Caenorhabditis elegans: one gene and its partners. The protein of the gene in region 1 interacts with the protein of each later gene in a pairwise test. Each region holds a gene or a part of one and is shown in the gene's direction. Other genes may lie near its edges. The genes, in order: pat-12, R02F2.5, lin-5 and abl-1.

Region 1 (5,175 bases):
GACCAAAGAAAAATTTGAGGAAAAGGGAAAATTAAACGGTTTCTTTCTCAAAGTTCCCAGTTGACTCCTTAAATACTTTAGGCCTAGTCTACCTGATCGCGATGTGTGTTCCTTTGAGCACACACGGTCATTTTTTCCTACAACGTTAGAAAGTAAACTTCTGCGTGCGCGCGCGCAAGCACGGAGCCAGAGAAAAACAGTCTCACTACCTAAGAAAGCCGATCATGGGGTCACTAACCTGGAAAATAGTTGAGCATTTGTGGAGGGTAACGAGGCAATCAACAAACAACCTGGCTTTCTCCTTCCGCATTTGAGATCCGCATCAATTTAGTTAAGGGGGAGGGAGGAAAGAGAGAAAGTTCAAATTTTGTAGTTTTTCAAAAATCGTGTAAATACAATTAACTTTAGGGAACTTTTAGAAGAAAGTGCAACTTACGACAAAAAAATCACAGTGATCAGCGCCAGATTGCGTCGCGAGAAACGTTTATTTTACAAAATCATTAGGCTCTGTATAAGTGACTCATTATTTTAAACTTATTTGTTGGTCTCAATATACTTTTCTCTTACAGGTTATCACAAATGCTAACATGCCATATATCTCCACGAGAATTCCGGATCCCCGCCGGAACCTAGCCGGAGACTTCCCAAGTGAGCATAGCAAGTCGAAGATCAAACTTGATCCGCTCGAGCAACGTCGGTTCAGAGTAAGCCGTACTTTTGAAGACTGAAATAAAATTTTATATCATGTTCAGAGCAGTGAATCGCGTCCAATCACCACCAGCAACTATCTCGCCGAGAGTGTCGATCGCCATCGTGAGATGGAAGCATCCCGGCTCAGAGAGTATTTGAAGGTGATTTTAATTTAATAAAGTCATGAAATTATAAAATTAAACGTTCTAGGCAAAGGAAAACGAAGCCAATCAGCCATGGAACAAACCAGGGTGGCCTGGACCAAAGAAGAATGATGAGAGCCTGAGGGAGCTTGAAACCATGAAACAGGTGAGCATGCATAGCACTGCATGAAAAGTATAGTTAAAAAGTAATTCGGAGTTCCGCATAAATCTAGGTATTCAAATAGTTAAATTAGAAAATATAAGGAAAATTTGGCAATACATCACAAATGTATTACACAAAGCCTACAAGTGATGACCAACAAACTTTGTCGAACCCTTGAAAAAAAAAATTTATTTTAAGATTGTTAAATACATTTTCAAAAATCGACCCGATTACCCAGTTGACAAAATTAAGAGATGTCATTGGTTTAGGGTTACCTTATTCACACTAGAACATTTTTTATAATTTTGTTTCCAGAGAATCGAGACGCTGAAAAGAGTAAGTCTATATCCCCTTTCTTGCATGTTTGTTTGTCTTCCTGTTTGTCCTTATGTGCATGTTATACTGTGTTGTCCCTCCTTTAAAAAAGATATCCCTGGCTTGGAAACGACAACACATGGATCCTCCTACTACCTACTGACCAACTTCCCTGAAACTACACGGTGTGGTGTGAAGCGTAATAGTGTGTAGAGAGCCGTCAGCCGAAATTCAGAAAACTTCCCAATCGATGAGCGATTTGTCAGTCTTGCCTACGCCGTCACAATTCGAGCAGCTAAATCCGGTGAGTAGACGGGGATGTTTTCGGGTACTCCAGGTTTTCAAAACGGAGCATTCGTTGAACAATAAATGAGTTTTCAGCAACCTCAAGCTTCTCCAATATCTCCGGGAGATTCTGGATGGCTGATCAAAATGCGCAAAAATCGATATTTGGATCACACCTCAAAGGTGAATGAGCCTAAGAAGTACAGATCAATGGACCAGCTTCCGACTGGAAAAGTAAGCCCCTGTCTATACTCTCAACCCAAAAAATCTCAACTAATGAGATCCACCAAAAAATTTGCGTCCTGCGCTCTACGCCAAATCGAATAGTGTCTCTGCCGAAGAGTTTTCTCTCGCTTAACACATCTCTCCTTCGATCGAATAGAAGCCTCTTGAAACTTCCGCCGACGCACACACAAACTGTATGTGTGGCTGCTGGAGGCTCTGCGCGGCGAGAGAGGGGGCTTGACGGATAGAATTTGAAACTCTTTTCTTTTCCTCTTTACTCCTCCTTCATTTTTATGAGGATTTTCCTTTTTTTTGAAATTTTTTTTAATGAGTAGGTTTTTTTTAGAGGTTTTCAGGTTAAAGTTGTAGGAATTTTTTGTTTCTTGTTAAAAATGATGCATAACGAGACTAAGGCTTAGTCGTAGTTTAAGGCTCAGACTTAGGGTGCAGTGTAATCCGTTTAAGCCTAACTATAAGATAAACATTATTCTTAGGTGTAGGTATAAGCATAGGCTTAGGCTCAGACTTAGGCGTATGTATAAGCTTAGACTTAGGCCTATGTTTAGGCGTAGGTATATGCTTAGGTTTAAGCTTAGGATTGTACTTAGAATTATGTTTAGGCTCAAACTTAGGTTTTGTCTTGATCATACAGTCTTAAGATCAAAATGAAAGGAAAAGTGTTCATTGCATATATTCCTTTTTAGTTAACTTTCAGTTTTTTTTCAAAATTGTTATTGCCTAAAAATAAGACTAAAATTCAGTATTGGTTGAGGTTTTTAATTTCTTGGTGACAAAAAAAAAACGAACTAATCTAGTTTGATATTCCAAAATAATCATGTTCGACCATCATATGTTATTTCCTTTTCCATATTTGATGCTTTATTTTTTTTTTAGAAAATCCTATTGACTTTGAACCTTCATTGCTTCCTTATCTTCACTCTATCTCTTACCGCAATCATAAATTGTTTGTTTCGAAGTTTGTTCGGAGCAGCAGTAGCAGGCGCCCGCGCTCGCGCACCTCCCACAATAATTGTCGGTGTATGCGTGGGGGTGATGCTTTGACTGTTGAATCAGTAATCCGAAATAAAAACAAAGCAATTTTCGAATTGAACAACATTGAAACAAATTGCCTAAAATACAAACAGTTTTGATTACAGGTTGGTGCACCCGACAACGAGAAGTCGGAAGGTACAGATCCGCTGCACTGGCAACTGAGGAAAGACTTCCATTTGGCTAAGTATTCGGTATGTTTTAGTTGGTAACAATTTTGAATATCTGAAAAATTGTAAATTAAGGATCTAGTGAACCAATGTATCAAACCATTAGAATTACAACGATCAGACTTACCTAGTAAATAGTCATCTCCAAAAGGAGTATCTTCAAAGCTAAAAAATGTCCAAGTCGAGAAATAGGTTAATTAATTACAACTTTAGCAAGTCTTGAAGTCCAATTCATAGCTTAAAACATAAGGATCTACCCCGAATTCTATTTTTTTACTGCATAGGAGTTCTACAACGACCCAGGAGATCTTATAAAATTATAGTACTCTCTGGAGCTGTTTTTAAGGCCTAATAACTTTTCTATGCCACCACTATGTATTATATGAAAGTGAAATAAATATCGAAAATTCTACTTTAGTTTGTTAAAATTCACTTCAACTTCTGAAAAGATTATATTAGTGTAACAAACGCACTTGGAGTCAGAATGTCTCAATTCAGTTTGATCTTCAAAAAATGCGGGAGGTAAGACACAGACATCTGATTTTTTTGTATGATTGAGCGTGCTGACACCACAATTTTTTTGGGAAAAAATTCCCGCATTTTTCGTAGACCACACTGTAATGGGAGAGCCTGACACCACCTGCAAACGTATTCCTAAACATTTACAGAAATTCGTTAAATCCCAGTCATCTCCACACATAGATGTATTTATCATTTCTCTGCAGTAGTTCTTAACCGTCATGCGTTCCGCGTCGTTCTTATGTTCCGCGCACCGGGGAAACACGCATTTGACCCGAATAGTGTGCTCATGGTGATAAGTGTTCATGCTCGTGCGTGCCTTAACCTCCTCCTCCCCTGTGTTGCTCCTGGCGCTTTTTGCTTCGTTTTGTCTTTCTCTCCACTATCCCTCGTTTTTAACATACGAAACAAGAAAGACAAACACATTCGTCAAAATCCTAGGAGTTCCCGGGTGCGTCTCTCCGACCTCTCACTAAGTCTCTGGCTCCCCATTATCCTCAAAAGCACTGTGTTTTTTTTCATTATTAGGTGCCAGAATCTAGGTTCAATCTTTTCAATTCTATTTCAATTTTTAAATTTGATGGTTGCAACCAAATGTTTCTCGGCGGAACAGCTTTAACATACCTATTGTTTCAAAAACTTTTGTGGTCAATAGACATAACTCTGAGCGCAAGGCACCCATCTCTAATCACTGTTGCTTCTGTTTGCTGGGCGGGTGAGAAAAATGTCCAACATTGTGTTGTACTTCTTTTTCAAAACCATTCTTTTTCATCGTTACACCAGCACTCTCGTTTCCTGCGTTTCTCACAATTTTGGGATTCTCTGTTTATTCGAGTACATACCGTAGTGGTCGGCTCTCGCTGCTCAACACTTCATTTTTTGCCCTCGAAAAGAGTTTTTTTGGAAAGTTGCAAATTCAAAAATCACGGAGATATTGTTTTGTTAACTTTTATTGGCGAAATCGATTTTTAAAAAAAATTCTCTAACAAGATACCTTTTCAAAATTAAAAAGTGTCCATCATTGAAATGATCTCATCTTTGACCAAATCTATAATTTTTATATTTATAGTTACTCTATTTTCTTTTCTCCCACTGAGATCTCGTCTTGCCTTATTGAAAAATCCTAGAGAATTATATAGAAAAGTTACTGACAATTAGGCTTCCATCCAAATATGTCCTCAACCAACGACGACAATACCGAACCGCCGTACTCGACAGTCAGGCAGTTACGAGCAGAATATCTGGCTCGAGTGGCGTCATCCTCCACGTCATCTCGATCGCATTCTTCGCGTCCACCACGCCGGGGCACGGTTTTTGGGACAAAACCTACTATCAGTTTGCCATACATTCCAGAAGTTGAAGAGGTCTAGAATTGTGTTCAGTAAAGTTTTAAGAAACGATGTAGAGGAAGGAAAAAACATACAAAAAATTAAAAAAAGTTTAACTTAAAATAATCTTGAATAATTTTCAGGAACGTCGTGCATCATACCACGTAGAATCATCGTCATATATCCACAGTAGTCAACAGATCCAACATCCTCCACAACAACACCATCCACCACCACCATCACCACCTCCAGTTGCAGAGACGATACAGCACCAGCCACATCCTTCA
Region 2 (3,681 bases), 4.7 Mb from region 1:
AGCAATTTTCTTAGTTGACAACTTTTGGTATTGCTGATTTTCATTAAAAAATTGGAACTCAGTTCTTATTTTACCAAAAATTAAATATTAATTTTCACTGAACTCCTTATTCCAGATGCCAGCTTTCACCTGGGCTTCCGGTGACAATGGAAAATGCTCCAACTGCCCAGCAAATGCTCCAGCCTGCTACCAAGGGCTCTGCTACATGCCAAAGAACTACGAGGCTCCGACTACAACAACGGAATCCACCACAACATCTACAACAACTGAGGAACCAACGACAACTTGTGAGCCCGATGAACCAGAAGCTGAGGGAGCTGACAATAATCAAGAAGAAGAAGAAGAAAACAACGACGGGTTCCGAATGAGAGTTTAAGCTTCTTTCATGGTACCCTACCTTCTCCCACATTTAATACCGGATGAACTACTTGGATTGCTTACCGAACGGGTGTGCATACCGCTGCATTTATTTATTCATTTATATATATAGGTGTATGTGTATGTATTGGTGATATACCGAGATTTCTACGAATTGATGATATTCAATAAAAACTACAGTACAATTCTATCGTTTTTATCAACGTTTTTATCAGCGTTATTATCAACATTTTCAGGTCCATACACCATTTTGAGCCTACAAGCCTATCCGCCTATCTCACTCCCTCGTGCCTACCTGTGTTTGCCTTCGCGCCTTCCTTGTTAACCCCTATTTTCGTGAATGTTAGCTGTCTCAAATTGAACTTCATTCGTGCCTAAATAATAATAATAAAAATCTGGAAAAAAATAATTTAAAAAGTCGAAAAGTTTAACATTTACGTGTAAAACTTTCCAAAAATCAATTTCAAACTCAAAGAAATTCATTTCTGAAAGCCGTGAGAAAATGGGATGCTGCGGTTCAAAAAACAAGCAGAATAGTAGGAATTCAAATCGAAATGGACAACAAATGGTAGGTACTGTAGGATTACGCTCTGCAGAACCAAGTTTCGATTGGTTTACTGTAGTGGTACGGTAGCGGGTTTCATAGGTTTATTGCAAGATTACGGTAGCTCATCGTTGTAATTACAGTGTTACTGTAGTAATACTGTACTTGTACGCTTAAGCTTGCATCAGCTTTCGCTGCGAACTCTTTTGAAACCAAAGTACTACGTGTTGTTAGGGGTACGGTTGGCGCAGGTTTATTACCTGGTTACTGTAGAGTCACTATAGTTTTGCACACCTTTTACAATCTCGACAGCATTCATTTTTAGAGATTCCTCGTCTCAAAAACTATATTTTCAGAATCAAACCGGAACCCAATCAGGCCCCTATCCTGCCCAGAATCAACCTCAGAATAGGAATCAACCTCCACCTCCACCTCGACAGCAGCAGCAGCAACAAGCTCCACCTCCCAATGGACAGAAGCCTCCACAACCTCAACGTCAACAACCGTCTCCAGGTCTCCCGTACCAGCCACAACCGCCTCCTGCGTATGGGGCTCAACAGCCATACTATCCACCGCAACAGCAAGTCGTAGTGGCTGCTCCTCCGCCAGTGGTCATTGTGGATCCTTATCCATGTTATGGAGGTGGAATGTACTACGGTGATCCATTCTATTGTGATCCGTTTATGTTTTAATCGAGATGTCAAATGAAAAGTAAGAAGAAGATGAAGTGACTTGAAAATATTTCCGATAAGAAATAATTGATAATTGATCCTTTTTTTGCAATAAAAATAGTCTGAGATTGTTTTCTAAAAATTAGTTAATCGGTCCGAAACTGGCAAATTGATCCACCAAAATTTATCCACGGGAAGTGTCGACTGCTGGCATTAGAAAAAGGAAAGTGTCGGCCGCTTCCATTTCTGCGTGAACGCCTTGCAGTTATTTTTTTGGAAATGATTTATTTTTCAAATGTTCAAACTTGCCGCTAAAAAATTTTATTCCCAACTTACTTTATAATCAAAAGAACTCAAATATATCGATGAAAAATGGGATGCTGTCAATCGAAGAAAGCTAGAAATAATCAACGGAACAACCAACGCTCGGACCAAATGGTAAGTCTCCAAGTTTCATATGAGGTGACCGTGCCTGCCTATAATCCCTGTTCCGGGTTCCATAAAAAAAACTGAATAGACACAAGGCAGACGAAGGTCGCCTTGAAGTCAAGCTCAAGAACTCCTCCTTGTACCTCAACTTTTCAGAATCGTCAGCACACTCAACCATCTCCAAACGCCTCGACAGAGCAAATGGTAGGGAAAATCGATAATTTTCCGAAAATCAATAAAAGAAAATATCGATTTTTCAGGCATACCCTCGACAGCAGCCTCAAGGGATCCCACAGGGACCTCCACCGGCCTACGCACCTCCAGCAGCACCGAAAGCTCCTGAGAAAGTCGTGGAGCCCAAAAATAGGAGAGTAACGATTGCAGAACCACCGGAGAGAGTTGCGGAGCCATCACCAACGCCTGAAGATCCAGAGCTTTTTACTTGCATCGACCAAACGGAGAAAGAGGTTGAAAAGGAAGTGGAGAAGAGAAAGTCTGCTCCGCGAGCCCCAGTCCCGGCACCTACACCAGCTCCTCAGGCAGCTCCCCAGGCAACTCCGGCTGCACCTGCTCAAGCTTACCCTCAACAACAACAAGCTGCTCCCGTGGTCTATGGATCCCAACCAATGGTCATGGGTGCTGCTCCGGTGGCTCCAGTTGTCATGGCTCCGCCGCCAGTGATCATGAGCCCTTATCCATATTATGGAGGTGGTGTTATGTTCGACCCATATTATAATGGATTTTATGGAGGATATGGATACGGAGGTTTTGATTTCGGGTATGGAGGATATGGTGGTTATGGATGCGGATTCTATTGACTTTTTTGAACTCTTTTGTGTTTTTTTGGAATAAATTTTTTAATTGAACACTTAAAAATCAACAGAACAAGATGAACAATCAACAACATAAAAATGGATATTATAACAAAAAAAACAATTAATAAATTCGCTTCGAAGCCCTCGTGATCGTAGAAAGGAACTTCTTGTATCGGGTTCTCTCAACAACTGGAAGATTCGTGGCGAGCAACGCGGATGCATTTTTATCGGCCAGTGAATGTAGTTTTGACATGGCAAGTAGACTGTCTGATCCATAGAATACTGCGTCTCCAATGATTGATGCAGTCAGCTGAAGAATAAAAATTTAGACCGTTTTTGAGAATAATTGAAGGTTTTTTTAAAATTTCAATTTAGTCGTTTTTCTTGGTAACTTTTACCAAAACATACTCAACAAGCTCCCCCTAATTTCGAAAATTAATAAGTTGACAGAATTTTTAAAAAAAATCGAGTTCGAGAAGAAATAGTGATTATTACAGATTATTTAAAATTAAAATGTCTATTTTCTTCTTTAAAAAAAAGGGAAATTTCTCAAGAAATACTAGTTCTCATTTTTATCAATTTGACAATCCTGAAAAAAAAGATAAAACGTTTTAAAATGGGTTTTCAAAAAAGAACTTTAATTTTAAATGTTTTTTAAAACTCTTCTCCAACTTCTACAATTTTTCTTCTTTTTTTTCAATATTTAAAAACTAGAAAAAAATTTATGTAATTTGTTATGGGGTTATTCAAGTAGTGTCGGAAAATTAAAAAGTGTAGAAAAATTACGTCACAACCTTATTCAAGTAGATAAAAACATGTATTTAAATACATTTGTGACGTCACA
Region 3 (5,593 bases), on another chromosome or scaffold:
TCTTACTGGATTTCCGAAAATAGAGGTAAGAATACTTCAGAAATACGTGTGTAAATACAATGATTATATTCAGGAACTGAGAATGCGCAATAATCTTCTGGTTTCAATTAGCCCCACAATTTCTTCGTTAGTTACTTTGACATCCCTGGATTTGTACGAAAATCAGTTGACCGAAATTTCGCATCTCGAATCACTCGTAAATTTGGTTTCTCTTGATCTGAGCTATAACAGGTGAAGAATTTAAGAAACTTTTATTTCAATAATAACTTTCAGAATACGCCAAATCAACGGCTTGGATAAATTGACAAAGCTCGAGACTCTTTACCTTGTCAGCAATAAAATTGAAAAAATCGAAAATTTAGAAGCTTTGACGCAGCTCAAACTGCTCGAACTGGGAGATAATCGGTAAATATGGAATGTTTCAACATCAAAATCACAAATTGTGTTCAGAATCAAGAAAATCGAGAACATTGGTCACCTTGTAAATTTGGATGAATTATTTATCGGCAAAAATAAAATTCGTCAGTTGGAGGGAGTGGAGACCTTGCAGAAGCTCAGTGTTCTCAGCTTGCCGGGAAATCGTATTGTGAAAATTGAAAATGTTGAGCAACTGAATAATCTGAAGGAACTTTACCTCAGTGATCAGGGTCTACAAGATATTCATGGCGTCGAACCTCTGGTAAAAAGCAATTCAAAATACACTGAGAAATGGGTCTTTTTTGCAGACTAATTTACTTCTTTTGGATGTTGCAAATAACGAAATCAAAACGTTCAGTGGCGTTGAAAGACTAGAAAGTCTTAATGATTTCTGGGTAACCGAGACATTTTACGTTTCTTCTATATCTTTTATTATTGCAGGCAAACGACAACAAAGTGGAAAGCTTCTCCGAAATTGAGCAACTTTCAAAGTTAAAGGGTCTTCAAACTGTATACTTGGAGAGAAACCCGTTCTATTTCAATGATACAAACCAATATCGCAGAAAAGTTATGATGACCCTCACCCAAGTAACTCAAATTGATGCTACTACGTGCAGAAAGCCAATTGAATAACTCTCGGACGCTTCCAATAAATATCCGTTTGCTTTTCTTATCCATGATAATCTTTCATAAATATGTATCAGTTTGCTTCATTGTTTGATATTGAGAACAAAGTGTAAGGTTATTAAGAGGAATCGCAAATGAATCATAATCGACCTCCATATGGGCGAAGCCAATCGAAATGGCCAGATATTATCAGCTAATGAAAATTTAAAAAAAAAACGACTAATCAAGAGTTTGAAAAAGGTTTCATACTTTGAGAATAATGCAGTAGTTTTTAGACGGTGCGGTGAGATTTTAAGAAGAAATTATTTATTCTTCTCGCTAAATAAATATGAACCAAAACCAACTTTCCATGCCTGAAAACTTAAAGTGTGTCAATTACAGAGCTTTTCTTTTGAGAACAATCAAGAAGTTTCCTCGAAAAGTATTAAACATATATGAAATGAAAGCTACTGTAAGATTTTTTGTTGTGAAAATAAAGATTTTATTGGAAGGCGCACTTAACTTTGTCCCCTAAAAAAGGAATGTTCTTTCTTTGTTTTCATTAAATAATTTCAAACTCAGCAATGTGTATACGGTTTTTTTAAAAGGCGCATGCACATAATCTTTCACATGGTTTTATAAATAAAGAATGAAACCATTTTCGCGCGCGCGCGCATTTTTGGTTTTATTTTTCATGTTAGATTCCTCTAATGTTCATTTCAATCAGTGTGTCATCCCACTTTTTAACAGCTTCATTTTTATTTATTATTCGTCCTTTTAATATTTTTTTGGTAGACTTGTGCATGTTGACCTGCAGGTCCATGGAAAAATTGTCATTTGAATTCCCGCTGTTTTTAGAAGTGTCGTGAGAAAAGTGTACGAGCATGGTGTAAGAGACGCAGACATTCTGCGTGCGTCTTTTAAATATTCTTCGTTTATGTATGCGTTCTCTCTCGTTCTTTCGCTCAACCACTCGCATTTTCTTTGAATAATTACTCCTTCTGCAGAATGAGCGTGAGCACATCAGTTGTGAAGTCAATGCTACAATTGACGAACTATTTTGGCTCCAATTTCACACCGAAGACGGAGACAATCAGCTCATTAGCCGAGCTTTGGGAGAGGCACGGGAGTATGATCGCCAGTATGATGTAAGTAATAGCTCATTCATAAACAATTTCATATTTTATTTTTCAGGTCATGCGACACTCGGGAGTTTGGCACAGCTGACAAATTCTATGAAGTTATCTTCCGCAAAATCGCCACAACGAGTCTCAGCTTCATGACCGATTCATTGGAACCGAAGCTTGCAGCGAGCGGAGATTCACTGGAGATTTGCAAATTCTACGCTCTGTTTCTCGAGTATATGAGAAAGGATCACTCGGGAATGCTCACTCGCGCATTGGAGCAAGCGTCATCAGAGAATCGCGTCGACACAGCTGTGCTTCTTGATATGTTTTTGTTTTTCGACAACGTGTATTCGGAAAGTACCGCTGACGACTGGTGGGCATGTCTTCGGAGAGATGACGAAGATCAGGAAGCATCCAGTGGCTTCAGGACTCCGAAAAGGAACAACTACAGCTTGACATCATTGCAAACACCAACAGCTACTGCCCGGCGACTACGCACAGCTTCCTCAACTGCTCGGCGAAGCCCTATAGCGGAGGCTGTCGATTCCCCTACCATGAAGTTCATGCGAAGCGAGCGGGAGCTGAAGCAGTCTAAAGCGAGAATCTTTGGTTTGGAGCAAATGTTAGGAGACCTTGAAGATGACAAGACCAAGTTATCGGCTGAGAACAGAACTTTGAAGCTTTCGTAAGTAAAATGGTACATTGAATTTAAAATATGGAGAAAATATTTTAGGAATTCCGATCTGAAAAGCGACATCGCTAAACTGAAAGGTATCGCCGAGGAGGCACAATTTCGTGCTGAAGAATTGAGCTGTGATCTCGAAGCCAAAAAGGATGAAGTCCACAACATTCTCCAACAACTCAATGAATCTCGAATGACGTTGAGATCCGAGCAAAGAAGTCTGGAGGAAGCTGACATAAAGAAAGAGAATCTTACTGCTAAGCTGAAAACGGTGACCGAAGACAATGGGAAGCTCATGAAGCAGGCCAGAGAGCTTCGAGATCTCAACGACTATGAATTCGCTAGATTCCGTCAGCAGGAACAGGAGCTTACTGAGACTCTTCGGGCGACGCAGGACCAAATGGCTGACCTCCAGGAACAACTTACCGGAGTGGAAAAAATAAGAGCGTCTCTGAAATCTGAAAACGAGAGCCTTTCTGCCAGTGTTGAGGAGTTGAGTGTTGCTTCATTGAGAAACAAACAAGATGCTGACAACTCTAAAACTATGCTTTCCGAGGAACTGGCGCGTTTTGAAGAGACTGTGGACAAACTCCGACAAGAAAAGCTTGAAGCGTTGAGCATGGCCAACTCCAGAATCGATGCTCTTCGTTTGGAACACTCGGAAAGAGAGAAAATGATGAAATCCACGAATGCACGCCTTCAGGCTGACCTTGACGAAGAGAGGAACGAGAAAAAGCGCTTGATGAATCTCTGGAATGAACTGAATGAAAAGTCCCTGAATGTCGACAAAGCTGTACATAAAAGCAACGAAGAATTTCAGTCAATGGGTTCTTGTCTTCAAAATGCGAAAAGACAAATTGAGCAGTTGGAAGTTGCGTGCAAGAGTAAGGACGATATCATCAAATTTCAAGAGGAGCAGAACAAACGAGCTGCCAATCTGATAAAGAATGAAAAGGCAATACGCGATCAGGCCTCAGCTCAATTTGCCGAGAAGTTGGCAATTCTCAAGAATTCTCTAGCGGAAAAAGAGAACGAAACAGTCACCCTTAAAGAAAACTTCGCAAGTGTGGTAATGAAGCATAAAGCCGAATTGGAGGAGAAAGAGGTTTGCTTGTTGAATATCAAATTGAATACAACATTACTTACTTTTTAGCTGTTCCTTCAATCTAGAGTGGATCTGATTCAACGTCTCGAGCACGAAGTTGCAGATCTTCGAGAGAAGGAAAGCGCCGAGATTAAGAAATCCACCTGGATGGGTGAGAGAATCAGTGAGTTCATATTTAACGTTTCGAAATTGAATTTTCAATCTTGTTTTTCAGAAATCTTCCAACAAGCTCCAATGAGAGGTTCGAGAATCAGATGCGGTTCGCCAGACAGCTTGCCAGACTTCCTCGCCGATAATGGACCAACAATTACCGAAGAAGAATTGCGAGCACAGCTTGCCACGTTCCCAAGAAAATCGATTGCTCCTAGTGTGGACGACAACGAATTCGATAAAGGAACACCGATTGGATTCAAGTCGAATATGGTAATCAGTTTATTATTATGCAACCTCAATTTTGTGAGACGAGACAATTTCTTATATAGACGAGACAATTTCTTACCACAAATATTGTCCAGAACGTTCAATTTTCAGTACGATGGACGTGAGTCAATTTGCTCTTTGGATTTCTTCGACCGGTCTAGTCTTCAACGTTCGTCGATGCGATCGGAATCTATCCAATTGGCATCGCCATCATCAGCTGGAGAGTTCAAGCAACCATTCACACCATCCGGAGTAACCAAGGAAAGAGTTGGAGTGCTCACTGCCAGAAACGAGAAAGTGAAGCCACACCTAAAATGCTCGTACGCCTCTGAAGTTGGAAGTACGAATTCGCCATCCGCAGACGAGGAGAATATCAAGAAGTCCAAGAAAAAGAACCGTCGGGATTCGATTTTTTCTGCTTTTTCGAGCAAAAAGCAGTAAAATATACTTTCATACATTGTAATATAACTTTTTCACAACACACTTTTGTTTTATGTTTTGCTCCGTGTTGTATCCTATTTTATCTATTTTACAATTCCTTTCCTAACGATCGCTGAGAAATGAAGAAGTTTCTTATTTTTTATGTGTTCTTGTGAAAATGATTGTTTCATCGCAGTTCTATTGTAAGAATCAGGCCCTTTTCCTTCACAAATCATCGTGCCGACCAGGGGTGTGCGGCGAATATTAGCCGAATTCGCCGTTCGCCGATGATTTTTTCGATTCGCCGAGTTCGCCGTTAGCTGAAAATTTTGAAAATCGGCGTTCGCCGAATTCGCCGTTCGCCGAAAAATCGCCGAATTCACCGTACGAGAATCGGCGAACTCGCAGAGCGAAATTCGCCGTTCGCCGAAAATTTCAAAAATCGGCGAGCGCCGAATTCGCCGATCGCCGAAAAATTCGATTCGCCGCACACCCCTGGTGCCGACGCGTCCCCGTTTGAATTGCCGCCCAGCCGCCGTGGTCGCATTCTCCGCGCCGAGACCCATCGTCGATAAAGGCTGCTCCTTTAACCGCCGAACGCCTAGATATATAAGCTGAGGATCGCTCATTCTGGATCATTTCTTAACCTTTTATAAGTTACGTGTCTTATTGCTCCTTTCTCCCGTTTACTTGTTGCGACATTGCCATACGTCTGTCCCTTTATACTAATAAATGCTTGTAAGATAAACCTCGCGTAGCTTGTTATGATAAACCCCACATCCTAAACCTTTACTCTATGGACGGCACCAAATTTGA
Region 4 (5,204 bases), on another chromosome or scaffold:
TGTTTTTGTGTGTTCCCATTTAGTTTCAGTTTTTGTTCTGCGCATTTCACAAAACTTTACTATTTTCAAAGTTCTTCGACACGCAAAAAACTCTACAAAAGTTTACTTTCAACTTTTTTTCGTATTTGGATTTATTTTAGCTATTTTTTTTAACGACTGGTTTAAATAAAAATAGGATGGGAGAAATTTTAGTAGACTTAATATGTAAATGTGAAAGAATTTTAGTAGACTTAATATGTAAATGTGTAATTTCCAACAATTAAACGAGGAGAAAAGACGAAAAATAAAAAAAATTATCGAAAATAGAACACTTTGTCACCATCAAAATCACTAACACTAGCAAAATAGCACAGTTTCATAGTCATATTACATATGCATGTTATAACAACAAACCTATTTTCATCTTTTGAAAACCCTACACACAATTCCACTTTTTTATGGAGAAATACAACCACATATAATCTTTTGATTTCAAAAAGTTATTTGTAATTGCCAAGCATTCATTACTTGGAGATCACGTTTTCCAAAACATCTTCGTCAGCAATTATTAAAACTTGGGAGTTTTTTTAAAGAATTATTGTATGCATTAGAGTGCGTTCTTATTGAGTGTTTCAAGTATGGAATTTGTTCTCAATTAACAAATTATTCTTAAACACACAATTTAAAATTAGTGCTTCATGTACAATTATATAGTCCGTGAAACAATGCAAATCTCCAAAAATTTTTAAACTTATTTAAAACTTGATAGGTACTTTTCAGCATATTTTAGTCTAAGGAGCCCTTTTATTGTTTTCAAAATAGTAGGACAGCAATTTTCTAATGAGTTAGAATTCACTCAACCAACCCTCAGAGGCATACCGTACTGTTTCTTCAAAATTTTGATTCTTTTAGTTTTGATTTCCATTTAAAAAATGCGTCAATCTGAATACTACCTATTGTTCAACTTTTCTATTTCAAACTGCATTCCCATACTCTTTCGTCGCTCCAATTTTTATGGGACAAAATTGGCGGGGGTTTTGAGTACCTCCTGGCCTCTCGTCCCATTCTTTGTGATCACACTTTTTGTTTCATTTCACACTTCATCCCCACACTTTCAACCGATACGAATTCGTATCGCAGATTTGTATAAAACATAGCGAAAAAGGAACGGCGACAAGTTTTGATTGGTTTTACAATGCAAAACTTTTTTGTTTATTAATATGTATGGTCTTGTCAATAATTGTTAGATTTTAGATTTGTAATTGACAATTTGTTAATTGGTTTAAAACTATGGTTTTTGCGAATACACAAATATCCGAATAGCATAACTTTTTTTTAATTATTAAATCACCACAATTTTGTAAAACAACTAAAAACTAATTATATCCAGTTTAAACATTATCCATTCATTTCGTATGCATATAAGTTCAATCAGTTCAAAGTATTTGTAGTCTCTACTCCGCGTTTCCAATCTCCTCTAGCTTAGTACTATTTATCTGACAGGAACTGTTGTTATTGTTTGACTAGCGAATAGGCGTTAGTGTTGAACCAAGTGCGCAGTAATAAGCAGTGAACAACGAGTGAGAAGTATGCAAGCGCGCTCTGCTGGTCACTGGATGGGTTATGAGAAAAGAGAGGGCAGCCGGGTACTCGACACATACCTTCACACCAATTGCGCGTCCTTTCTTTTTTCCTCCATGTTCTTTTTTTTTTGTCTTCTTCGATTTTTTCTTTTTATTTCTTTTTTTTAATTCAAGCCAAACTTCATAATTTTCAGGCTTTTCTAACTTTGAAAACATCAAAACATTCTCCCATGTAGGACTTAACAAAAATGTGAGTTCAGTTCATTTCATAATTCTTCTCAAAAACTATAAGGCCATGGTATTTTGTTTATTTTAATTTTACGAACAACATATACTAATAAAGAAGAAAATGTTTTTCAGGGGTCATTCACATAGTACTGGGAAAGAAATCAATGACAATGAACTCTTCACATGTGGTAAGCATTTTGCGCTTGAAAATTGTGAAAATTACTTTTCAACTAAAAACAAATATAATTTCAACATTTGAGTTTGGCATTGGATTTCAAAAAAAAAATTGAATGGTATAATTTCATACCATTTGGAAAAATTCAGCCTTGAAAAATATTAACTTGACGAAACTAATGAATATTTGTTGATTCAAAAGTTTTCCTAAAAAAATGATTATTGTTTGAAACTCATTAAAAAAGTACTGATAAAGTTTACGATTGTTTCTGAAGTATCAGCTTTTGTTTTTCTATTTTTCAAAAAAAGGAAGCTGCTCTCAGTTTTGAAAGAAAATAAGGCGAAATTGTAAAATAAATTATACGTAAAGTATTATAAAACTAATATTTTGTAATTTCTCAGTTTCTCAAAAAAAAAAAGTTCATGTTAAAACATGAAAAACAGTATGTTAAGTTTTATGTATTGTTTTTAACGTTCCTTCTACTTTTCGATGAATTGTCACAATCTCATTCGAAATTGTCTGCCCACAATAAGGCCCTTCGAGTGTAGATGACAGATTCAGAACCGCTCTTAATGCTTTATGCGGTTAGGTTCTCTAATCCTCCAAGTGTTCGGTTCCCTTCGTATTCCCGTTCGCTGTAGATATATGCCGGAGAGGGTGTGGGGAGGGTGAGAGATCCTCTTCTAAAGTCACAAGTAAACGAGACGCGGAAGAAAACGAGAGTAGAGATAGTAATAGCTGGTATGGTGGATTGAAAGAGAGCATGAGTGGAAGACGGGACGCAGACAAACCAAGAGGTCACATCTCCCTTCCCTCGTCCGTCAACTCCCGGTCCCTAGTTTGAGGACAACGCATGCGTGATCCAAATATGGGAGACTATCCAATCAAGTGTATCTTCTCTACTCATCTAGAATAATTAGATCATAATTTTTTACAAACTACAATATTTATAAAATTATACACTTTTAAAAGGTTTAGGCATAATTTATTTGGGAAAGGAAGTTTGGAAGAATAGAAAAAAATGGAATAAATCCAGTTCCTCTCCCCTTTCCCGCTTTGCCGCCTCCCGGCAAAACGTCGCTTCTCCAACTTGTTATTCCAATTCAATAGGTTTCAATGCCATATTCGCAGTTATAAATGCTCGACCCCTATTGACTATTCGCATTTTATTCACTTCACTCCAGTTTTAACTAGATTTACCATTTCCCCCCATCTTTTTTCTCCCTGGGTCAGAGAAGCAGCTGGACTTGTGTTAGTAGTACGACGAATCGCCCTTCTTCTCGTTGACCAATTAGAAAATGTGCTCTGGCACATTTTCCTTTCTGTGTGGGACTGAGAACCACGGGGGACACCCAACCTCCTGTTCTTCATTCTTTCTATCCAATTTTTATGATGGATTTGGTGCGACGCGTATACAATGAATATAAACGTTCGCAAGTCCACACCCATTTTTACAATTCCCTAGACATTGACACGGCATGTGACAATATTGAATAGTTTTGCTAATTTTGTGTTACTCTCGAAGAAACGGCATTGTCTCTGCTTTTTTTGTTATCTGAAAAAATAAAATCAGTTAGGTGTTTCAGTAGAATTTTCAAAAATAATTTACATCAGACAAACCGAGCTGAACAACCAAAATATATCCTAAATCAGATTTGACGAAGTTCAGATCATTGATCTTTTTCATAACGTGATTAAACACAAAACTATAAAAGTTTTATGAAATAGAAAAGAGAATACTAATTTTAAAATCTTCCGGTTCCGGATTTGTGTATGTGTTTGCTTATCAAATCACAGTTCTTACATGTATTTTTTAAGTGAAAAATCTATTAGGTCTCCAAATAAGTTCCGGGTCAAAAATCATAACTTTGTTCTCTGTGTATCGATTTTTATGAAACTTTGGGAATTCATGTTATCAACAATGATCTTTCATTTGACATCAGTCACAAAATTTTTTGTCCACCCCAAGTGTCCTAACTCGGAGCCAATTTTTTCAGGCATTTTTCCTATCTCGCTTCTAAAAGAAGACCTTTGAATTGAGGTTTGTGTGCGGATTTCGCCTTGCTTAAAATACATTATTAGAAAACGACAAAATTTTAGAAAAAAATCCGTCCAAAAAATTTTTTTTTGGTTGGTCGTCAAAAAATGTTCAAAAAAAATTTTGTCGAAAGTTCTAGATTTTCCCTACAAAAATGATGTAAACAAGCGTGAACTATTTTTACACATACAAAACATATCAATTTATTTCGATACACCAAAATGTTAATAGAAAATATAATTTTTTCGGATAATTTTTGAGTTTTTTGAATATTTCTCGAGATTCAAATTTCAAACTAAAACGATTATTATATATTTAAAAAAAATTTTTTGGACGGATTTTTTTCTAAACTTTTGTCGTTTTCTAATAATGTATTTTAAGCAAAGCAAAATCCGCACACAAACCTCAATTCAAAGGTTAAAAGAAGCGAGATAGGAAAAATTCCTGGAAAAATTGGCTCCGAGTTAGGACACTTGAGGTGTACAAAAATTTTTGCGACTATTGTCAAATGAAAGAACATGGTTGATAACATAAATTCCCAAAGTTTCATAAAAATCGATACACAGCGAACAAAGTTATGATTTTTGACCCGGAACTTATTTGGAGACCTAATATAAACCTCGTTTCGAAGTTTTGAAAATTGTATACCGTATTTCTTCTATTAATATGACTGCAATACTATTGTTCGATGGTCTTCCCGCTTGCAATACTAATAGGGAGTGCAAGACTATTAGGGAGTGCAATATTAATTTTCAGAAAATTTTTCTGACTTTGAGCTTTCTGATTTTTTTTCTGAAAAAACTCGAACCTTGTGTGAAAGTGAAAATTTGATTGTAATTGCAACAAAAAGGTACAATAACTTCAATTTCATAAAAATTTTACCACAAATTGTTGCAAAGTAGGCAAAAAATGTTGTTAAAATCTCAAAATTAGTGAGGTGGGTCTGTACCAAAAAAAAAGTAGACGCAATACTATTAGGGAGTGCAACACTAATAGGGAGTGCAATACTAATTTTCGGAGGGTGTTCAAGGAGCAATACTAATAGGGAGTGCAAGTCTAATAGGGAGGCCATATTAATAGAAGAAATACGGTATATATCAAATATGTATTTTTGAAAAATCATCCGAAGAATCCTACTGGTTACTTACAATATATCCATATTTGATAACACATTAAAATCACATTTTAACTCTTCGAAATA

What was found.
Region 2: the proteins of pat-12 (region 1) and R02F2.5 interact in a two-hybrid assay, tested with the Caenorhabditis elegans proteins (2 studies listed by BioGRID).
Region 3: the proteins of pat-12 (region 1) and lin-5 interact in a two-hybrid assay, tested with the Caenorhabditis elegans proteins (2 studies listed by BioGRID).
Region 4: the proteins of pat-12 (region 1) and abl-1 interact in binary tests that used the Caenorhabditis elegans proteins (3 or more experiments, as listed by UniProt).

The regions. Positions count from the first base shown.
Region 1 is NC_003281.10:735,484-740,658, reverse strand, and holds the start of pat-12 (Protein pat-12), read left to right. Parts: upstream 1-1,680; coding exon 1,681-1,830; intron 1,831-2,978; coding exon 2,979-3,065; intron 3,066-5,031; coding exon 5,032-5,175.
Region 2 is NC_003281.10:5,477,439-5,481,119, forward strand, and holds R02F2.5 (Prion-like-(Q/N-rich)-domain-bearing protein), read left to right. Parts: upstream 1-1,879; 5' UTR 1,880-1,965; coding exon 1,966-2,031; intron 2,032-2,178; coding exon 2,179-2,226; intron 2,227-2,282; coding exon 2,283-2,840; 3' UTR 2,841-2,890; downstream 2,891-3,681. Other genes in the region: Protein lon-1, read left to right, coding at 116-376; R02F2.10 (Prion-like-(Q/N-rich)-domain-bearing protein), read left to right, coding at 881-946, 1,279-1,614; R02F2.6 (uncharacterized protein), read right to left, coding at 1,244-1,486; R02F2.7 (Myb-binding protein 1A-like protein), read right to left, coding at 2,959-3,147.
Region 3 is NC_003280.10:7,858,629-7,864,221, forward strand, and holds lin-5 (Spindle apparatus protein lin-5), read left to right. Parts: upstream 1-2,030; 5' UTR 2,031-2,031; coding exon 2,032-2,171; intron 2,172-2,217; coding exon 2,218-2,835; intron 2,836-2,883; coding exon 2,884-3,937; intron 3,938-3,985; coding exon 3,986-4,100; intron 4,101-4,151; coding exon 4,152-4,360; intron 4,361-4,468; coding exon 4,469-4,798; 3' UTR 4,799-4,935; downstream 4,936-5,593. Other genes in the region: sds-22 (Protein phosphatase 1 regulatory subunit SDS22 homolog), read left to right, coding at 1-25, 74-231, 274-405, 451-679, 726-812, 859-1,050. UniProt on the Caenorhabditis elegans protein: Essential component of the spindle apparatus required for spindle positioning and chromosome movement. Acts to recruit or anchor gpr-1/gpr-2 complex to the spindle and cortex.
Region 4 is NC_003284.9:10,620,753-10,625,956, reverse strand, and holds the start of abl-1 (Tyrosine-protein kinase abl-1), read left to right. Parts: upstream 1-1,767; 5' UTR 1,768-1,810; coding exon 1,811-1,812; intron 1,813-1,922; coding exon 1,923-1,978; intron 1,979-3,249; exon of another isoform or gene 3,250-3,374; intron 3,375-5,204. UniProt on the Caenorhabditis elegans protein: Functions downstream of migratory protein mig-13 and is involved in Q neuroblast migration during larval development.